2 linked regions of the Callithrix jacchus genome follow. The main gene of each other region encodes a partner of the protein of the gene in region 2 in a complex. Links are inferred from orthologs where the notes say so. Each region holds a gene or a part of one and is shown on either strand. Other genes may lie near its edges.

Region 1 (4,525 bases), on a different chromosome or scaffold from region 2:
TGGGAGGCCGAGGTGGGCAGATCACCTAAGGTTGGGAGTTCGAGACCAGCCTGACAAACATGGAGAAACCCCTCTACTAAAAATACAAAATTAGCCAGGCTTGGTGGTGCATGCCTGTAATCCCAGCTACTTGGGAGGCTAAGGTAGGAGAATCACTTGAACCTGGAAGGTTCAAGATTGTGACACTGCACTCCAGCCTGGGCAACAAGAGGGAAACTCTGTCTCAAAGAAAGAAAAATAATAATATTTATTATAAATATTATAAACTCTGTCTCAAAAAGTGATAAATAAATCATTTTAAAAATAAAATGTAGGCCAGGCGTGGTGGCTCACGCCTGTAATCCCAGCACTTTGGGAGGCCGAGGCGGGTGGATCACGAGGTCAAGAGATCGAGACCATCCTGGTCAATATGCTGAAACCCCGTCTCTACTAAAAATACAAAAAATTAGCTGGGCATGGTGGCGCGTGCCTGTAATCCCAGCTACTCAGGAGGCTGAGGCAGGAGAACTGCCTGAACCCAGGAGGCGGAGGTTGCAGTGAGCTGAGATTGCGCCATTGCACTCCAGCCTGGATAACAAGAGTGAAACTCCGTCTCAAAATAAATAAATACATAAAATAAAATAAAATGTATATATCATAAACCAGCTGGGCACAGTAGCTCACACCAACAAATGTTGGCTGGGCACGGTGGCTCATGCCTGTAATACCAGCACTTTGGGAGGCTGAGGCAGGCAGATCACTTGAGCTCAGGAGTTCAAGACCAGCCTAGTCAATATGGCAAAATGCTGTCTTCAGAAAAAATACAAAAATTATCTGGTGCAGTGGTGTATGTCTGTAGTTCCATCTACTCAGGAAGCTGAAGGAGGAGAATCATTTGGCCCAGGACGGGGAAGTTGCAGTGAGCCGGGATTGCGCCACTGCACTCCAGCCTAGGCGATGAATGTAAAACCCTATATCAAAACAGAAGAGTACCTCAGCAGGGCACAGTGGCTCACACCTGTAATACCAGCACTTTGGGAGGCTGAGGCGGGTAGACCACAAGATCAGGAATTCGAGACCAGCCTGGCCACAATGGTGAAACCCTGTCTCTACTAAAAGTACAAAAATTAGCCGGGCATGGTGGCTCGAGCCTGTAATTCCAGCTACTCGGGAGGCTGAGGCAGGAGAATCACTTGAACCCAGGAGGTGGAGGTTGCAGTGAGCTGAGATCATTGCAGTTGCTGGAGCCACCGCACTCCAGCCTGGGCAACAGAGTAAGACTCCTTCTCAAAAAAAACCAGTATATCTCATAAACCCCCTCCCCTGCCTTCCTTCATCCTCTCCTCTGAACCACACCCACGTCAGTGGGCTATAGTCATTCATTCATTCAACAAACGTTTGTTAAGTACCAATTGTGTATTTGGATTATCCAGACTGGGGAATCAGGTGGAAGGAAAAGGGACATCTGGGAGTTTAGTTTGACTGTAGTGCCAAGAGCTAATTCTACCCAATAAATTGACAGTAACACCAGCAATGACACTAATAATAATATTAAAATCACTCAGCGCCAAGCCCATGTCAGACACACCAGCTTCACATCCATTAACTGGTTAACCTTCAGAGACAAACCCAAAGCGAGAATTATATTAATACACTCATTTTCTTTTCTTTCTTTTTTTTTTTTAGAGGCAGGTTCTCACTCTGCCCAGGTTGGAGTGCAATCATAGTTCACTGCAGCCTTGAACTCTTGGGCTCATGCGATTCTCCTGCCTCAGCCTCCCAAATAGCTGGGACCACAAGGCACAGGCCACCGCACCTGGCTAATTTTTTCTAGAGATGGGGTTTTGCCATGTTGGCAAGGCTGGTGTCGAACTCCTGAGCTCGAGTGACCTGCCCACTTTGGCCTACCAAATGGCTAGGATTAGTGCGTGAGCCACTGCGCCCGGACCATTTTCCATTTGAGGAACTGAGGCGGGGAGTGAGAAGTCACCACTCAGAGACTTCCTCAGAGCTCTGCCCCATTCCCTCCCAAGAAAGCTTCCTCCGGGTCCATCTGGTCCTGGACCCCACACACCGCCGGTCCCAGAGCAGGGGTCTGATTGGGGCCTGGAGCCTAGCTGACTTCAAGCTTAAGAACAGCAGCAGGCACGGAAAGGCTGTTAGATGTGGCCCCCCGGAAACGCCCCAATAGGGGCTCTGGGCTCTGTTCTTTGGAGGTGTACGTGTCCCAGAGAGAGATGGAACAAGCCCCAGTCAGCGAGGCCAGATCTGCCCTAATAGGGTCAAGCAGGCAGGAGGGTCCCCAGCCCACCCTAAAGGAACCATCGGTTCCGCTTGTCTTAACGTGGGGAGGGCTGTTTCTGGCCCACCTCATAGGAGTACAGCAGGCAGGGGGCACGCGTGGGTCAGCCCCAATGGGGGCAGCAGGCAGGGGCACACGTGGACCCTTCCCGATTGGGGCAGCGGCCAGGGACATGCGTAGAACCGTCCCGATGGGAGTAGCGAACAGGAAGCATCTCAGACCCGCCCCGAAGGGGACAGCGGGCAGGGAACGCGTAAACCCTCCCCTAAGGGGACAACGAGCAGGGGCTCGCGTGGACCCACCCATAAGAGGACAGCCAGCAGGGAGCTCGCGGGGACCCGCCCGATGGGGACGGCAGGCTCGGCTCACCATAGCGCCGTGCGCTCCCGCGGGTGCCGCAGCCGCTCGAGTGCGCCCAGCGTGGTGTGCAGTGCGTGGGCCGCGTTTCGCGCCAACAGCGCGATCAGCACGCGCGGCGCCTGCAGGGGCGACTCCGGGCTCCAGCGCTCCTCGGGAAAGTAGGCGTCGGCGCCCGGCGGGCCTCCCGGCGGCAGTGGCGCCAGCAGCAGAAGCAGCAGCGCCGGGAGCGGCCTTCCGCGCCGCAGTCGCGCGCGTGGGGCCGCCGCCATCGCGCCACGCGTCTCCTTTAAGTCGTTTTTGTGCCGGAGGACGCCGGCCGCACGGTAAAAAAGTCTTCAGGGCCCCGCCCGGCCGCTCGCCTTAAAGGGGAGGAGTCCAGGCCCCGCCTCCAGACGCTCTCAGAGACTCAAAACCCGAGTGACGTCACCTACAGCCCCACCCAAGACGCCCCGCCCCCGCATGATCCTTAAAGATACAGAGCGCTTGGAGAGGGAGAGCTTGGAAGGGAAGTTAAGGCTAGCTTTAGGGTTAGGAATCCGCGCTTCCTCCAGTCGCTTCCTACCACCCGGACCTCAACCTGATGCGCCCCAACTTCCCCAAGTATAAAACCCGGGCTGTGCCACCCGGCGGGCTTGGCTACTTAGGACCTGGTTTGGGACCCTAGAGACCTGAGCTTCAGTTTCCTCTGCTGCAACGTGGATTTGGCATCCTGGTTCTGGACCTCACGCCTGTAATCCCAGCACTTTGGGAGGTAGAGGCGGGCGGATCACCTGAGGTCAGGAGTTCGAGAGCAGCCTGGTCAACATGGTGAAACCCCGTCTCTACTAAAAATACAAAAAAAATAGCTGAGCGTGATGGTGCGCGCCTGTAATCCCAGCTACTCAGGAGGCTGAGGCAGGAGAATCGCTTGAGCCCTGGAGGCGGAGGTTGCAGCGAGCTGAGATTGTGCCACTGCATCTCAGACTTCTGCCTCTCGGGTTCAAGCGATTCTCTTGCCTCAGCCTCCCAAGTAGCTGGGATTACGGGTACCTGCCACCACGCCCAGCTGATTTTGTATTTGGGAGTTCGAGACAGTCTGGCCAAGATGGTGAAACCCATCTCTACTAATAAAACAAAAATCAGCTGGGCGTGGTGGTGCCCGCCTGTAGTCCCAGCTACTTGGAAGGCTGAGGCAGAAGAATCGCTTGAACCCAGGAGGCAGAGGTTGCAGTGAGCCAAGGTCACATTACTATACTACAGCCTGGCAATAGAGCTACACTGCGACTCAAAAAAAAAAAAGAAAGAAAGAAAGAAAGAAAAGAAAAAAGAATGATACAGGCCAGGCGCGGTAGCTCACACCTGTAATCCCAGAACTTTGGGAGGCCGAGGCGGGTGGATCACGAGGTCAAGAGATCGAGACCATCCTGGTCACCATGGTGAAACCCTGTCTCTACTAAAAATACAAAAAATTAGCTGGGCATGGTGGCACGTGCCTGTAATCCCAGCTACTCGGGAGGCTGAGGCAGGAGAATTGCCTGAACCCAGGAGGCGGAGGTTGCAGTGAGCCGAGATCGTGCCATTGCACTCCAGCCTGGGTAACAAGAGCGAAACTCCGTCTCAAAAAAAAATACAAAAAATTATCCGGGCATGGTGGCGCTCACCTGTAATCCCAGTCACTCGGAAAGCGGAGGCAAGAGAATCTCTTAAATCCAAGAGGTGGACATTGCAGTGAGCCAAGATCGTACTATTACACTCCAGCCTGGGCTACCGAGCGAGACACCATCTTAAAAAAAAAAAAGTTGAAAACAAATTTACACTCTGTGGACTTGACGAGGAAAGATCTTTTCATATTAAGAAAAAGACCCCAGGGCAAACAATGGTTTTCTCAAAAGGAGCAAGATGACA
Region 2 (4,030 bases):
TCTCCACAAATGCAGTCGGTCCCTGCCCCAAGCTGTGACACTTCTTTTTTGTTTCTTGTTTCTTGTTTTTTTTTTTTTTTTTTGAGACCCCGTCTCGCTTTGTCACCCAGGCTGGAGTGCAGTGGTGCGATCTCAGCTCACTGCAACTTCCGCCTCCCAGGTTCAAACAATTCTCCCACCTCAGCCTCCTGAGTAGCAGGGTTAACAGGCGCCTGCCACCAAACCCGGCTAATTTTTGTATTTTTGGTTGGGGTTTCACTGCTGGGAGCAGTGGCTCACGCCTGTAATCTCAACACTTTAGGAGGCCGAAGTGGGCGGATCATAACATCAGGAGTTCGAGATCAGCCTGGACAACATGGTGAAACCCCATCTCTACTCAAAATACAAAAATCAGCCAGGCATGGTGGCGTGCGCCTGTAATCCCAGCTACTCAGGAGGCTGAGGCAGGAGAATCACTTGAACCCAGGAGGTGAAGGTTGCAATGAGCTGAGATCACACCACTGCACTTCAGCCTGGGTGACAAAGCAAGACTTCATCTCAAAAACAAAAAAAAGGCCAGGCACACTGGCTCACGCCTGTAATCCCAGCACTTTGGGAGGCTGAGGCGGGTGGATCACGAGGTCAAGACATCGAGACCATCCTGGCCCATATGGTGAAACTCCGTCTCTATTAAAAATACAAAAATTAGCTGGGCATGGTGGTGTGTGCCTGTAATCCCAGCTACTCAGGAGGCTGAGGCAGGAGAATTGCTTGAACCCAGGAGGCGGAGGTTGCAGGGAGCCGAGATCACGCCATTGCACTCCAGCCTGGCGATAGAGCAAGACTCCATCTCAAAAAGAAAAAAAAAAACAGATGGGCTTTCATCATGTTGGCCAGGCTGGTCTGGAACTCCTGATCTCAAGTGATTTGCCCGCCTCAGCCTCCCAAAGTGCTGGGATTACAGGATTGAGCCACCAGGCCTGGCCTTTGTTTTTTCTTTTCTTGAGACAGGGTCTCCCCGTTTCCAGGTTGGAGTGCAGTGGTGCAAACATGGCTCACTGCAGCCTCAACCTCCCAAGCTCAAGTGATCCTCCCACCTCAGCCTCTGTAGTAGTAGCTGGGACTAGAGGCTCTCACTACCATGCCCAGCTAATACTTTAAATTTTTTGTAGAGATAAGATTTTGCTATATTGACCAGGCTGATCTCACCAGGCTCAAGCAGTCCTCATACCTTGGCTTCCCAAAGTAGTGGGATCACAGGTGTGAGCCACTGCACCCGGCCTCATGGCACCTCTGACTGGTGACTAGGAGGCTTGGGTCTACCCAGGCCCTGGGTCAGAAGAGGGGGCTGCAGGCTGGCGGGACTCACACTCGCTTTCTCTGCACCAGCTCCACGTAGTCCTCAGAGCGGGCGTAGTACTCGTCAGGGCTCAGGGCACCCCAGAAGTTGGACCACAGCTTGCCGTGGCGGGACAGCATGGGGGCAATCACCTTCCTGTGGACAGGCGAGGGTGAGGGCTGGGTGGAAGAGAGCAGGCCTGGGGAGCCCAGTGCCCAGGGCAGGAGTGGGGTTCCCGGGGCCTGTTGGGGTGCCCCCCGGCTGCAGGGAAAGAGGGCAAGCCACCTGTTCTCCTCAATGAGGATGCGCAGGGTCTGTGGGTTGGTGAGGACAGCATCAGCGTCCAGGCTGAAGTAGAACTCGCACTCGGGGTCCTGCCGACACATGTCCCTGGAGGTGAGAGCTGAGCTCAAACAGCAGCAGGCAGGGAGGCAGGTGGGGATGGGGAATTGGCCCCACCCCAGGAGAAGAGGAGGGAGGCAGCATCTGGCCTTCTTTCCCCAGGCTCTCCGCTGTCTGGGTGAGCTAGCAAGGGTGGGGAGGGGATGTGACAGCGTGGGAACTGCAAGGATGCGAGTGGAGAAGCCTGGGAGGAGCTGGAAGGGTGATAGGTGAGGCGAGGGCCAGGCAGCGGGTGGCAGCCACCCCCACCCTGCACCCTCATCCTGCCCTCCTCCCTGCCCAGTGCCTGCTCACATGGCCATGTCCCTGGCCTCGCCTGGGCTCAGAGCCTCCTCTGGCCCCACCAGCTTCGTGGCTGCAAAGTGTTCCTGGAGCTGCGGCCAGGAGTCAGCGATGTGAGGCTCATGGAAGACCTCCTGGGGAGGGGTTGACATGGGGGACGGGCTCAGAGGGCAAGGAGGCGGCCCTTGAGGGATGGGGGTGCAGGTAGGCTATGGGGGTGGGGGCACGGGAGTGCTGATTAGGGCAGGGGAAGGGTCCTTTGGGAGAGGCTTTGGGGGGCGGGGGGGTCTCACGTTATTGTGCAGGAAAAGGGTGATCCTGTCGTGGGGATAGTCTAAGAGCAGCAGCCGCTGCAGGAAGCTGGGCAGAAATGGGGTAGGCTGTTCCACAAACACGGCCAGAAACACCCGGGGGGGAGGCTGGAAGATGCGACACGAAGGTGCTCAGAGGGAAGCCTGGACTTCCCGCCGCCCCCACCCACCCTCCACCCTGCCAGCTTCGGGGACTCAGGGGCATTGCCCCCACCAACACCCAGCCCACTGTCCTTGCACCTCCTGCTCAGCATGCTGCCTTCTTTCCCGGCACCCCTGCCTCACCTGCCCCCCCGGGAGTGTCCTCCGGTCCCGGTTGCAGAAGCCACAGCCTCCCTCGGGAGTCCAGCCATTGGGGACATAGTTTCCCAGGTAGTTGAGCTGCAGCTGTTGGGGAGAGACAGAGGCTGAGTGGCTGAGGCCTCCAGGGTGGAGGTGGGGCACCTCTGCTGTGGGAGCTGGGGAGGGCCGGCTTCTCAGAAGGGTTGGAGATGCCCAGGGGTTGGGGCAGGGCAGGGCAGGGGTTGAAGCCACTGGTGGCACCTTAGTAGGACCATTTCCATGGACCACAACGGGGAGCGTGTCGTAGGCCACGTTCCGTATACGCACACGGTTCCGATCAAACTTTAAAACCACTTCATCTGGGGAAGAAAAAGGCCAGGATTCAGACCCCCTTTCTCTGGGAGCTGCCGAGCAACACGTTCTTCTAAATATGGGGTCCCAAATTCTCCAGGGATAAAGGGACACTGGGACTATCCTGGAGTGTGGCTTGTGGGGGGCAGGAACCTTCGAGTTCTGACCAGGCTGCTGGCTCAGAGAGCTCCACTGACTACCTGCCTGAGCATATCGAAGCCGCTGGGTGAGGAAGGGCAGGATGAACTGAGCTGGGTGCCACTGGGAACCTCAGCATCCCTATCCCTCTTCATGTTCTCTCTCATTTTTTTTTTTTGAGACGGAGTCTTGCTCAGTCACCCAGGCTGGAGTGCAATGGCGCCATCTCAGCTCACTGCAACCTCCACCTCCTGGGTTCAAGAGATTCTCCATCCTCAGCTTCCTGAATAGTTGGGATTACAGGCGTGTGCCACCATGCCCTGCTAATTTTTGTATTTTTAATAGAGAAGAGGTTTCGCCATGTTGGCCAGGCTGGTCTTGAACTCCTGACCTCAGGTGATGATCCACTTGCCTTGGCCTCCCAAAGTGCTGGGATTACAGGCATGAGCTGTCGCACCCAGCCTAATTTTTGTATTTTTAGTAGAGACAGGGTTTCATTATGTTGGCTAGGCTGGTCCTGAACTCCTGACTTCATGATTTGCCTGCCTCGGCCTCCCAAAGTGCTGGGATTACAGGCATGAGTCACCGTGTTCAGCCTCCTTGCTTTTTTTTTTTTTGAGACAGAGTCTCGCTCTGTCACCAGGCTGGAGTACAGTGGCATGACCTCAGCTCACTGCAACATCTGCCTCCCAGGTTCCAGTGATTCTCCTGCCTCAGCCTCCTGAGTGGCTGGAATTACAGGTGGCTGCCAACATGCCTGGCTAATTTTTGTACTGTTTTTTAGTAAAGACAGGGTTTTGCCATGTTGGCCACGCTGGTCTAGAATTCCTGACCTCAAATGATCCTCCAATCTTGGCTTCCCAAAGTGCTGGGATTACAGGTGTGAGCCACCACGCCCGGCCTCTCTATCTCTTTTCTCCCCATCCCCTGAGGTAAGTCACTAACC

What was found. The genes of interacting proteins can lie anywhere in the genome.
Region 1: the proteins of PLOD3 (region 2) and COLGALT1 are in contact, whole or in part, in a cryo-EM structure (PDB 8ZGE), measured with the Homo sapiens proteins. The link is inferred for Callithrix jacchus from reciprocal best matches to the Homo sapiens genes PLOD3 and COLGALT1. Residues at the interface, in NP_001075.1 of Homo sapiens: Leu226, Val229, Val230, Leu231, Lys232, Phe233, Asp234, Arg235, Arg241, Gln261, Tyr264, Leu265, Pro275, Gly430, Ala431, Leu432, Arg440, Glu442, Glu446, Arg452; in NP_078932.2 of Homo sapiens: Ala36, Tyr37, Phe38, Pro39, Glu40, Glu41, Arg42, Trp43.

The regions. Positions count from the first base shown.
Region 1 is NC_133523.1:16,291,205-16,295,729, reverse strand, and holds the start of COLGALT1 (procollagen galactosyltransferase 1), read right to left. Parts: upstream 2,977-4,525; 5' UTR 2,911-2,976; coding exon 2,651-2,910; exon of another isoform or gene 2,584-2,650; intron 1-2,583. UniProt on the Homo sapiens protein: Beta-galactosyltransferase that transfers beta-galactose to hydroxylysine residues of type I collagen. By acting on collagen glycosylation, facilitates the formation of collagen triple helix. Also involved in the biosynthesis of collagen type IV.
Region 2 is NC_133503.1:12,545,408-12,549,437, reverse strand, and holds part of PLOD3 (multifunctional procollagen lysine hydroxylase and glycosyltransferase LH3), read right to left. Parts: intron 2,955-4,030; coding exon 2,857-2,954; intron 2,701-2,856; coding exon 2,599-2,700; intron 2,422-2,598; coding exon 2,296-2,421; intron 2,137-2,295; coding exon 2,015-2,136; intron 1,709-2,014; coding exon 1,604-1,708; intron 1,475-1,603; coding exon 1,349-1,474; intron 1-1,348. UniProt on the Homo sapiens protein: Multifunctional enzyme that catalyzes a series of essential post-translational modifications on Lys residues in procollagen. Plays a redundant role in catalyzing the formation of hydroxylysine residues in -Xaa-Lys-Gly- sequences in collagens.